Linked DNA regions of Canis lupus familiaris. The protein of the gene in region 2 purifies or fractionates together with the protein of the main gene of each other region. This does not show direct contact. Links are inferred from orthologs where the notes say so. Each region holds a gene or a part of one and is shown on either strand. Other genes may lie near its edges.

Region 1 (4,366 bases), on a different chromosome or scaffold from region 2:
TGTATTTTTTAAAGTAAAAGAACTGTACAAAAAAAAGAAAAAAGAGAAAAACACTTGGTGGGATCAGGGCCTGACAGCCTGGGGCCATAAAAGGAAATTCCCTCTGGCCTGGTGTGTGTGAAGATGTAAGGGGCGGGGCAGGGGGTGGTCCGTGGTCTGAGATGGCTGCCTCCGGATGCCTTAGTGCTGCGGTCACTTCCCTTGTGGGGGCTCAAGGCATGGCCTAAAGCAGATTAGGGGTCTGGCCACTTGCAGGCCACCCAGATGTCCCCCTCTCCCGGGGGATGAGAGTGGGGGGCGTGGCCTTTAATGACTTTCCTCCACAGCTGCCCTCATCTGTTCACTTTAGAGATAGTCAAAAGCTTTCCCAGAGGTGGATTATCCCCACCTCCCCCTCTCTGAAGCAACTATCCTCCCCTACTTAATCAGTGAGTTTTGCCTCCCAGCTCTAATTTGTGCCCTGGTTTATCAGCCTGAAGTTTGTGTGGCAGGACTGGCCAGAGCCTGAGGGCAAAAGTATGAGCACAAGGTTTCTGCTGTTCGGCTGCCTGTCACCTCAGGACCACAGACTATAATCCTGAAAGCCCTGCAGGGAGTTCACCACACTTAATATCCTGCAATATAGGGTGCTTGGGCCCCCAAAGCCTATCCCCGCAAACCAGCACCAAAGCCTTCCAGTTTCAGTGATGCCACCCATTCACCCTTTGGCACCAGGGTTTTATACAATGCATCAAGTGCCCCTGGGCAACTTCACATAAACCTTTATGACCCTACCAACAAAATAGTAAGAGTGCTCAGTCTTCATCTAAGCACCCTTTGAAGAATTATGAAAGAATTATGGAAATTATGTAAAAATATGAAAAATGGAAAAGTGACCAAGAATTATGAGGAATAGCATAGAGCCTACTGAGAACCTGGGAAAGCTGGATGAAGATGACAGGTGATCCTTACTCCTCAAACCTAAAAACTGAATAAAATTTTAAAATAAAAAACCCTGAAAACCCACCATCCTGAATCATCAACATCACTACTGCTTTTCCAAAAGCCTCCTTGTCTCAGCCAACCTTGAAGAACTTGTCTACGTTCACTCTCTATTTCCTCACCTCCCATTCAACTTGCCACCAGGCTGCTTGCTGCCTTGAGGGCTGGCAGTATGTCTGGGCCTCTAGCATGGGAGGTGTTTAACCAGCACTTTAAAGAAGGAACCCAGTGTTGTTTGATTTCTTCATCCATTTTCCTCTAAGGCAGCCTTCGCAAAGATCATCAAATACTCATTATTGTAAATTCAACAGTTACTTTAAAGTGCTCAAGTTTTTTGACTTCTCAACAGCCTAAACTACTGTTGACCACTCCCCCTTCATTGAAACACTCACTTCTCTGAGCTTTACTAACATTTTCCTGTTTCTTCTGCAACCTCCAATGGCACCTTTTTAGTTAGCCTTGCAGAGTTCTCATTCCCTCTCCTTCACACCCATGTCTTCAGGTATCATCTATATGCTAACATCTCCCAAATCTGTGTCTCCAAGTCAGATTTCTCCTGAACTGCAAATCTGCATAACCAACAACCTACTCAACATTTCCACTCTGCTGTACAGTTACTTTACCATGTCACAGCAGCACTCATCATCCTTCAGCCTTGTCCAACTCAGTAAAAGCAACTATCTACCCAAGTGTCTGAGCCAGAACCCTGGTCATCATCTTTGACCTTCCTCACTCCCCACACCAAGTCTTATCAATTATTTACACTAAAGATTTCAGGAATCCAAGCACTTGTTTTTCATCTGCCCCCATTCTAGTCTAAGGCATCACCGCTCCTGGGACAGACTTAGCAATTGCCTCTCCACATGGCCACCTGCTCTTTAAAAGGTATCCAAGAGGACACTTAAGTGGACAATCTCATCATATCACAGAGGGGCTTTAAACCCTTGCTCTTAACGTTAATGACCTTATCATAGTGTAAATATCCTTGCATGATCTGGCTGACCCTTGCAGCCGACCCCTCCAGTCTTATCTTCGGTGGTTTACCACTTGTACCCAAAGCTTCAATCCATAGAAGCTCACAGAAGTCTTCTATCCTCCGGGCATATGGACCGGTGGACAATTTCCAGATTCTCTGCTCACTGTCTTGCCTCCTATATTTTGCCGATGCAGTTCACTGAGGTTGGAAAGCTCTCTGCACCCTGCGCCTGAAAAACTCTTGTTGAGCGGTCAAAATTCAGCAGAAACACAGCTTCCTCTGTGGAAACCCTCTGCCCCCCACAGGCTGTGCTTTGCACTGGTCGCACAGGGTAGGAAAGCCAGCCGCCCCCAGCCGACGTGAGCACCCCACACTGCGGAGAGGAGCTTGTCTCTGCCCTTCTCACCCACCAGCCACGTCAGCTCACCCCTGGTTGAGGTCGTTCTCCGTGTTGTCCAGCCACAGGCGAACGGCCACCGCGTTGCCCTCCCGGCACTGGGTGAAAATGTCGTCCATAGCAGCGTCCCGGCGCTGAGCGCCCTAGACTGGGGAAGCCTGGGGACTGTGGAGAGTCAGGCAGGGGGGTGAACCCCGAGCTCTGTCCCCTACCGGAGAGAAGTGTTCGTGTAGGGGGTGGGGGTCTCCCGCTCCTCCCCGGCTCCTGGAGATCTGGGAAGCAGTTCAGGGAGGCGGGATGGTCCCTGGCTGTGTCCCTGGGCGCCAGAGGAAGGCGGGTCCGCGCGAGGTAGGGGGTGGTTCGGAGGTAGAGTCCCCGACGGAGGGGTGTCGGCGAACGCGCTCTGGGACCCGCCCGCGAACTGAGCTGGGGGGAGGGGAGTCGGGCGCCCGGTACCCTGCGAGAGGCGACGGGGGTCCTTCCCGGGGGGCCCTCGTTCCCTGCTCGGTATTCGGGCCGCGCGGAGGCCGGCGAGCCGGCCGGGGTCGGGCCTCGGGGAGGGGAACGGGTGCTCCCGCACTCACCGGGACTCGGGCTGGAGGAGCCTTCTTCGGGGAACTCCCGTCTGGCCGCGCCCGCCGCGCAGCCCCGCCCCTGGCCCTCTGCGGCCAGCGCGGGCCCATTCCTCCCCCCCTCCCTCCCTCCCTCCCCCCGTCCCTCCCTCCCGCCTCCCGCCTCCCGCCTCCCTTGCCCTTCTAGCCAGCAGCGCTAAACTCGATGGTTTCCGGCGCCGCTCCGGCCGCTCTAGCCCCGCAGACTCTCACTCCTTGGTCTCCGGCGCGGTTCCGGCGGTTCGCGCGCTCCGAGGGCTGGAGACGCGTCCTGCACGTGCAGAGGCGTGTGGACCCCGCGGCCTCCCCCACCCCACCCGCATGTTTGAGGAGCCAGAGTGGGCCGACGAGGCCCCAGCAGGGACGGGCTTCCGGCCTGTAGCTCCACGGCCTCCGCCCGCCGCAGCCTCGCAGATCAAGGTGAGCGGCCGAGAAGCCCACGCAGGTGGATCCGAGCTTTGGGTCACGCCGCGTGTGGGTGAGTGTGTCGGGGCGGCGGGGCGCCTGCGGCCGGCGCGAGATCCCACTCAGTGAGAGCTGTTGAGCCGAAGTTAGTGAACACGGTTGTCTGGACGGGGAAAGCACGTGCAAAGGCTCTGGGGCAGGGAAGCGTGTCCGGGTTGTTCGGGACACACGCACACTAGTCCGCGCGGTTGGAGCACAGAGAGCTGAGAGGGTATGCCCTTGAAGTTGGAGAGGCAGAGTAGAAGTTTTGCAGATTTTAACGGTAAAGGCCAATGAAATGGTTTTAGCAGGGAGTGATTTCTTAAGATTTGCATTTTGGAAAAGCCATTGGTTGCGGTGTGGAGACTGGATTGGAGAGAGCAAGAGTGAATGACCATGAAGGATTACCAGCACTACCGTTCTCAAGGAGTGGTGCGGCGTGGGGACTGAAAACCTCCAGGTTAAATGCCTGCGCTGGGGCCACCCCGCAGGACTTCAATCCAGAAGGCCTCCTGGACAGGAGACCTTCTCCTATAAGCCTTTGCATATGTGAAAGCTGCTGTACTTCCGCAGGCTTTTCCTACCTTTCAGTCGGCGTCCAGCGTGGAATCAGCCTGCTTTATTCCTTTTCATCATCCCCTCAACCCATTGCTGTAATCAACACCCCTGGTCTCTCGGTCCACAGCCTGTCCCTTTCAGTTTATTCTCTACACTACAGCTAGACTCACGTGAAATACACACCTGTGATTGTGTCACTCTTGTTTTCAGAAACCTCCCTACCTTTTATAGAAGGATACCACCTAGAGGCAAAAGCCTGAGATGGAGGGTTGGAACTTCTGTTCTCTGGCCTTGGTCCTGTTACTTGTGGCCTTACCACATTCCTCTGGGGAACTTCCATGTTCTCATTTGCAAATTGAAGAAGTGAGGTGGGTGGTTTCTCTTCTTTCCAGCCTCCCA
Region 2 (4,328 bases):
AAGGATAATGGAGAGAAAGCTTGAGACACGATAACCATTCTCTATCCATGCAAGTGGACTGTTCCCTGCGTTTCACCTTCATACTAAGACACAAAACCTGATGGTTACAGCTAAAACTTCACTAGTAAAGAAATGAGGGAATTCTTATGCTCTAGTTTATGTAATCACATCAAATATTTCAACATATGAGATATTAAAATATATAGAGTAAGCATTCTGTGCACTACCAATAAATGAGCCCCAGTTGAGGAATGGCCTTCAGAAGGCATCCTGGAACCTTCCAGGCTCCAGGAGTCCAGGAGAGAGGGAATTTCAGCAGAAAGCAGCCACTCTTTGAGTCTACGCACACCACAGAAGCTGCAGAAGGTCCAATCTCCAAACTACCCAGGAAGCAGGCTTGTTCTTCCTTATGCTACTTCTCCGGGAGAACACAAGAAAGATCTTGCTTTTTACCACCTACTATTACACCGGAAACATCTTTCTCAGGAAGCAAGTGGCTATCTTTTCTCCTTCAGTAAAAGCCAAGGCTTCAAAGAGATAATGCAAGGGAACCAAAATAGCCAGGCCACAATCCTTACTTATAAATATTACATAAAGAATTCTCTTCAAAGCCAAAGGCTATGAAGTTCCTCTGCAGAGATGAGGAGCAGACAGCCATGGGGCCAAAAGTACAGTGGAGCCAGGCCTCCTGCTTGCGCTCACCATCCTTCATTACAGCAGAGCGCCCCATGATCGCCTCGACCTAGGCAGAGCCAGAAGTGGCAGCGCAAGCACACATCCAGCCTGGCTGGCGGCTGCCAACCCAGCCCCCAGAGCCTGCAGCTCTGCTGCTGCCACCAAGAAGCCATCACCACTTGGGAGAGGCCAACTCATCTCAAGAAGGTAACATGCTAATTGGTTCAAAAGCTAAAGCTCCGCGGCAGGAACCTTCCTAAGGGTTACCGAATGCAAACTGTCTAGGACTTCTAACCCCTTTCCTTTTGCAGAGATGCATCAAGAGCCCCAACCCAATCTGTCCTGGGCACAAACCACGGATTCACAGTAAATTTGATTGACTCTGCTCTCTCCATGCCAAACAAGCAATGCATCACCTTTTAGGATCTCCTGAACATCTCTCCTCCTCCTCCAATGTCACATCCTGGTCTGAATCTCAGCAACTCCATCCACCCAACATTTCTGAGCACCTACTGTATGCCAGGCCCACTACCAAGAAGGCATTTATGAGTAATGCACAGCAACATTCCCCCCCAGTCTCCAATGCGGGTGAGAGACATCTGGATTAAGAACGGATCACAATCCCGGGTAAGCAGAGCCATGAAGCAAGGCATGTCCACCTCCACAGAGGAGGGGATGACTATTTGCTTGACACGAAAAGAGAAGTTTTCACACGGGCGATGGCATCTGGGCTGATTCTTGACAGATAAGTAAAAGGATCTGGGGGAAAAAGAGAGGAAGAAAACAATACTTCTAAGGCACAAAGACCTGAAAGACACTGCCCTGGTTCAAGAAGGGCAATCCGTTCAGTATGGCGGGAAGAACAAACGCATGGATGAGATAGGAACTAAGGTAGGCTTTGGCCAGATTCACAAAGGCTCCGCATGTCACGCCAAAGAACTTGGAGCATCACTGTTGCTAATGAACAACCAGAAGTGTTTAAGGGAGAAGGTCCAAACTGAGGCCACACTCGGCCTGAAGAAGTGTTTTATTTCACCTGCACTTTTCAGTACTGGAATTAGTTGCCAATGTGTAAAAAATTAAGAAATTTCACGTAAAAACCTAAACTCTTGCCTTCCTGAAAACAACAACTATGGCAACACTAGGCCAACATCCCCAGGTGGTGACAACCGTGTGCACGTGCGCAGCAGGTTCGGCAGCTGCCCCTCTTCAGATGGGATACCCACGATGAAGTTCATGACCATCCTCAGCTGGCCCCAAAAGACATCTGAGTTTGCAATCTCTGGCTTAACGGAGTGAGTTACAGGCTAAGATATGTTGCAGAAAAATAACCTTAGAAAGCAACACAGTGACTGAAGCACAGGGTCAGCAAACCTGAAGGCAAGAGGCTAAAAGTTAGGGGATACATCACAGTAGCACGAGGAGGTAACAAAAGCCTCAACTAAGAATAAAGAGCCAGGAAAGGGCAAGGAGTGGAGGAGACATGCTTAACAAACTCCAGCAGCCATAAGAGGAGTTAATCATGGAACTTCTGTGTGGCGATTGCTCAAGGGTCAGTGACTATATTAGGAGAAAACAAGCCTGATGCAAAAGTGATTTTCGATTTAAAATAGAGTGGGTGTGCAGTAAACTGCGCGGGAAATCTTCTCAAATACCAGCTACTGCCTGGGTGACTCCTACCCCGGGCTCTGAGGCTCGTCTTCCAGCCGGGCCGGGCCAGGTCCCCGGCTGCAAACTTTCTGAGCTAAGCTCTCCGCGGGCGAGGGTTGCACGCAGGGGTGCAGAGCCCTGGAAGCTGTGGAGCCCGGCGGCCGGCGGCTCCCCGGGAAGCGCGCACAGCCTGCAGGCCCCGGGAGGGCGCGGCCCCCGCACTTACACAGGCCGTTGACGTCCAGCATGTTGGAGATGCCCCGGTCACTCATGTCCACTTCCGGCTGGTTCTTCTCCCGGCTCTCCTCCACCAACTTTTTCAGGGACTTGGACATGTTCTGGAGCAAACGACAACAGAGGAGGTGGGCGACGGCCGGGGGCGGGGGTTGGGTTGGGGGGGGCCGGGGGTTGGGGGGGCTCGGCGCGGGCTGGCCCCGGGCGGGGGGCGGGGGGCGGGGGGCGTCCGCACCGCTCCGGGCGCTCAGGGAGGCGAGCCCGGGTGCCACGCCGCACACTCACCGCGGAGCGCGGCGCCGACCCGGCGGGCGAGGGAAGCACAGGCGTCCGCCTCGCGCGCTGCAGCAGCAACAGATGCGCCGGCTCGGAGCGACCGCGGACGGGAACGGGAACGGGGACCGCGCCCTGTCCCGGAGCTCCGCGCAGGCGCACAGCCCGCCGCCCTGCGCTCCACGCCCCGCCCGCGCCTGGCGGTTCCCAAATTAGGAGACCAGTTCACTAGACGCGGCTCCAGGGTGAGGCCCCGCCCACAAGGAACGTGTACCGCGGCCGGCCAATCACGTCCGCCGCCTGGCCTCGAGGCTCCGTCCCGTCCCGCCCCGAGGTTAGCCCGTCCCCCTGGAATGCGCCCGGGGCTGTCGTTCCGAGAGGACCGGGCTGGGCGCACGCGCACCAGCGTCGGCGCAGGCGCAGTTTGTGCGCCGAAGCGCGGAGAGCTGTGGGCGGAAGCGGGAACCTGGGGGCGGGACCGTGGGGAGAGGGTGGTCGCTCAACTTGGGAACCCGGGAAGCGAGAAGTTAGTTGCTCCTCGTTGTCCTGTCTCTTTAGTTGTGGTTCAGTGTTCAGAGGTCAGTACTCTGATCCCTTCCCCACAGTCGTTCCTTAGGCTGTATCATGAGCTGCTCGAATGCAAGAACGGCACAGTGGTCTGTGTTCCCGGCACCCAGCTAGATTCCTAGCACCCAGCTGGATTCCCAGCACCCAGGTAGGGATTGCCAGCACCCAGCTGGGGGTTCCTAGCACCCAGCAGGGGATTGCTAGCACCCATCTAGATTCCTAGCACCCAGCTGGGGATTCCTAGCACCCAGCTAGGGATTGCCAGCACCCAGCTGGGGATTGCTAGCACCCATCTAGATTCCTAGCACCCAGCTGGATTGCCAGCACCCAGCTAGGGATTGCCAGCACCCAGCTGGGGATTGCTAGCACCCAGCTAGATTCCTAGCACCCAGATGGATTTCTAGCACCCAGCTAGGGATTGCCAGCACCCAGCTAGGGATTGCTAGCACTGTTCTAGTGATTCCTAGCACCTAGCTGGGGATGGCTACCCCTCAGCTAGATTCCTGGCACCCAGCTGGATTTCTAGCACCCAGCTGGGGATTGCCAACAGCCAGCTAGGGATTCCTAGCACCCAGTTAGAGATTGCCAGCACCCAGCTAGATTCCTAGCACCCATCTAAGGATTCCTAGCACCCAGCAACCGATTGCTAGCACCCAGCTGGATTTCTAGCACCCAGCTGGGGATTGCCAACACCCAGCTAGGGATTCCTAGCACCCAGTTAGAGATTGCCAGCACCCAGCTAGATTCCTAGCACCCAGCTAAAGATTCCTAGCACCCAGCTGGATTCCCAGTACCCAGCTATGGATTGCCAGCACCCAGCAAGGGATTCCTGACACCCAGGTAGGAATTGCTAGCACCCAGCCAGGGATTCTCAGCACCCAACATGGACCCCTGTGTCACATGAAGGGGAATACACACAGATAAATGAC

What was found.
Region 1: the proteins of RSU1 (region 2) and ILK purify together in Homo sapiens (affinity purification with mass spectrometry; 9 studies listed by BioGRID and IntAct, counting the BioPlex papers as one, with this or other methods). This does not show direct contact. The link is inferred for Canis lupus familiaris from reciprocal best matches to the Homo sapiens genes RSU1 and ILK.

What each region holds. Positions count from the first base shown.
Region 1 is NC_049242.1:30,417,926-30,422,291, reverse strand, and holds the start of ILK (integrin-linked protein kinase), read right to left. Parts: upstream 3,067-4,366; 5' UTR 2,939-3,066; exon of another isoform or gene 2,811-2,938; intron 2,526-2,810; exon of another isoform or gene 2,520-2,525; 5' UTR 2,474-2,519; coding exon 2,385-2,473; intron 2,187-2,384; exon of another isoform or gene 1,954-2,186; coding exon of another isoform or gene 1,946-1,953; intron 1-1,945. Other genes in the region: RRP8 (ribosomal RNA-processing protein 8), read left to right, coding at 3,287-3,385. UniProt on the Homo sapiens protein: Scaffold protein which mediates protein-protein interactions during a range of cellular events including focal adhesion assembly, cell adhesion and cell migration.
Region 2 is NC_049223.1:19,006,865-19,011,192, reverse strand, and holds the start of RSU1 (ras suppressor protein 1), read right to left. Parts: upstream 3,004-4,328; 5' UTR 2,845-3,003; intron 2,664-2,844; 5' UTR 2,661-2,663; coding exon 2,552-2,660; intron 1-2,551. UniProt on the Homo sapiens protein: Potentially plays a role in the Ras signal transduction pathway. Capable of suppressing v-Ras transformation in vitro.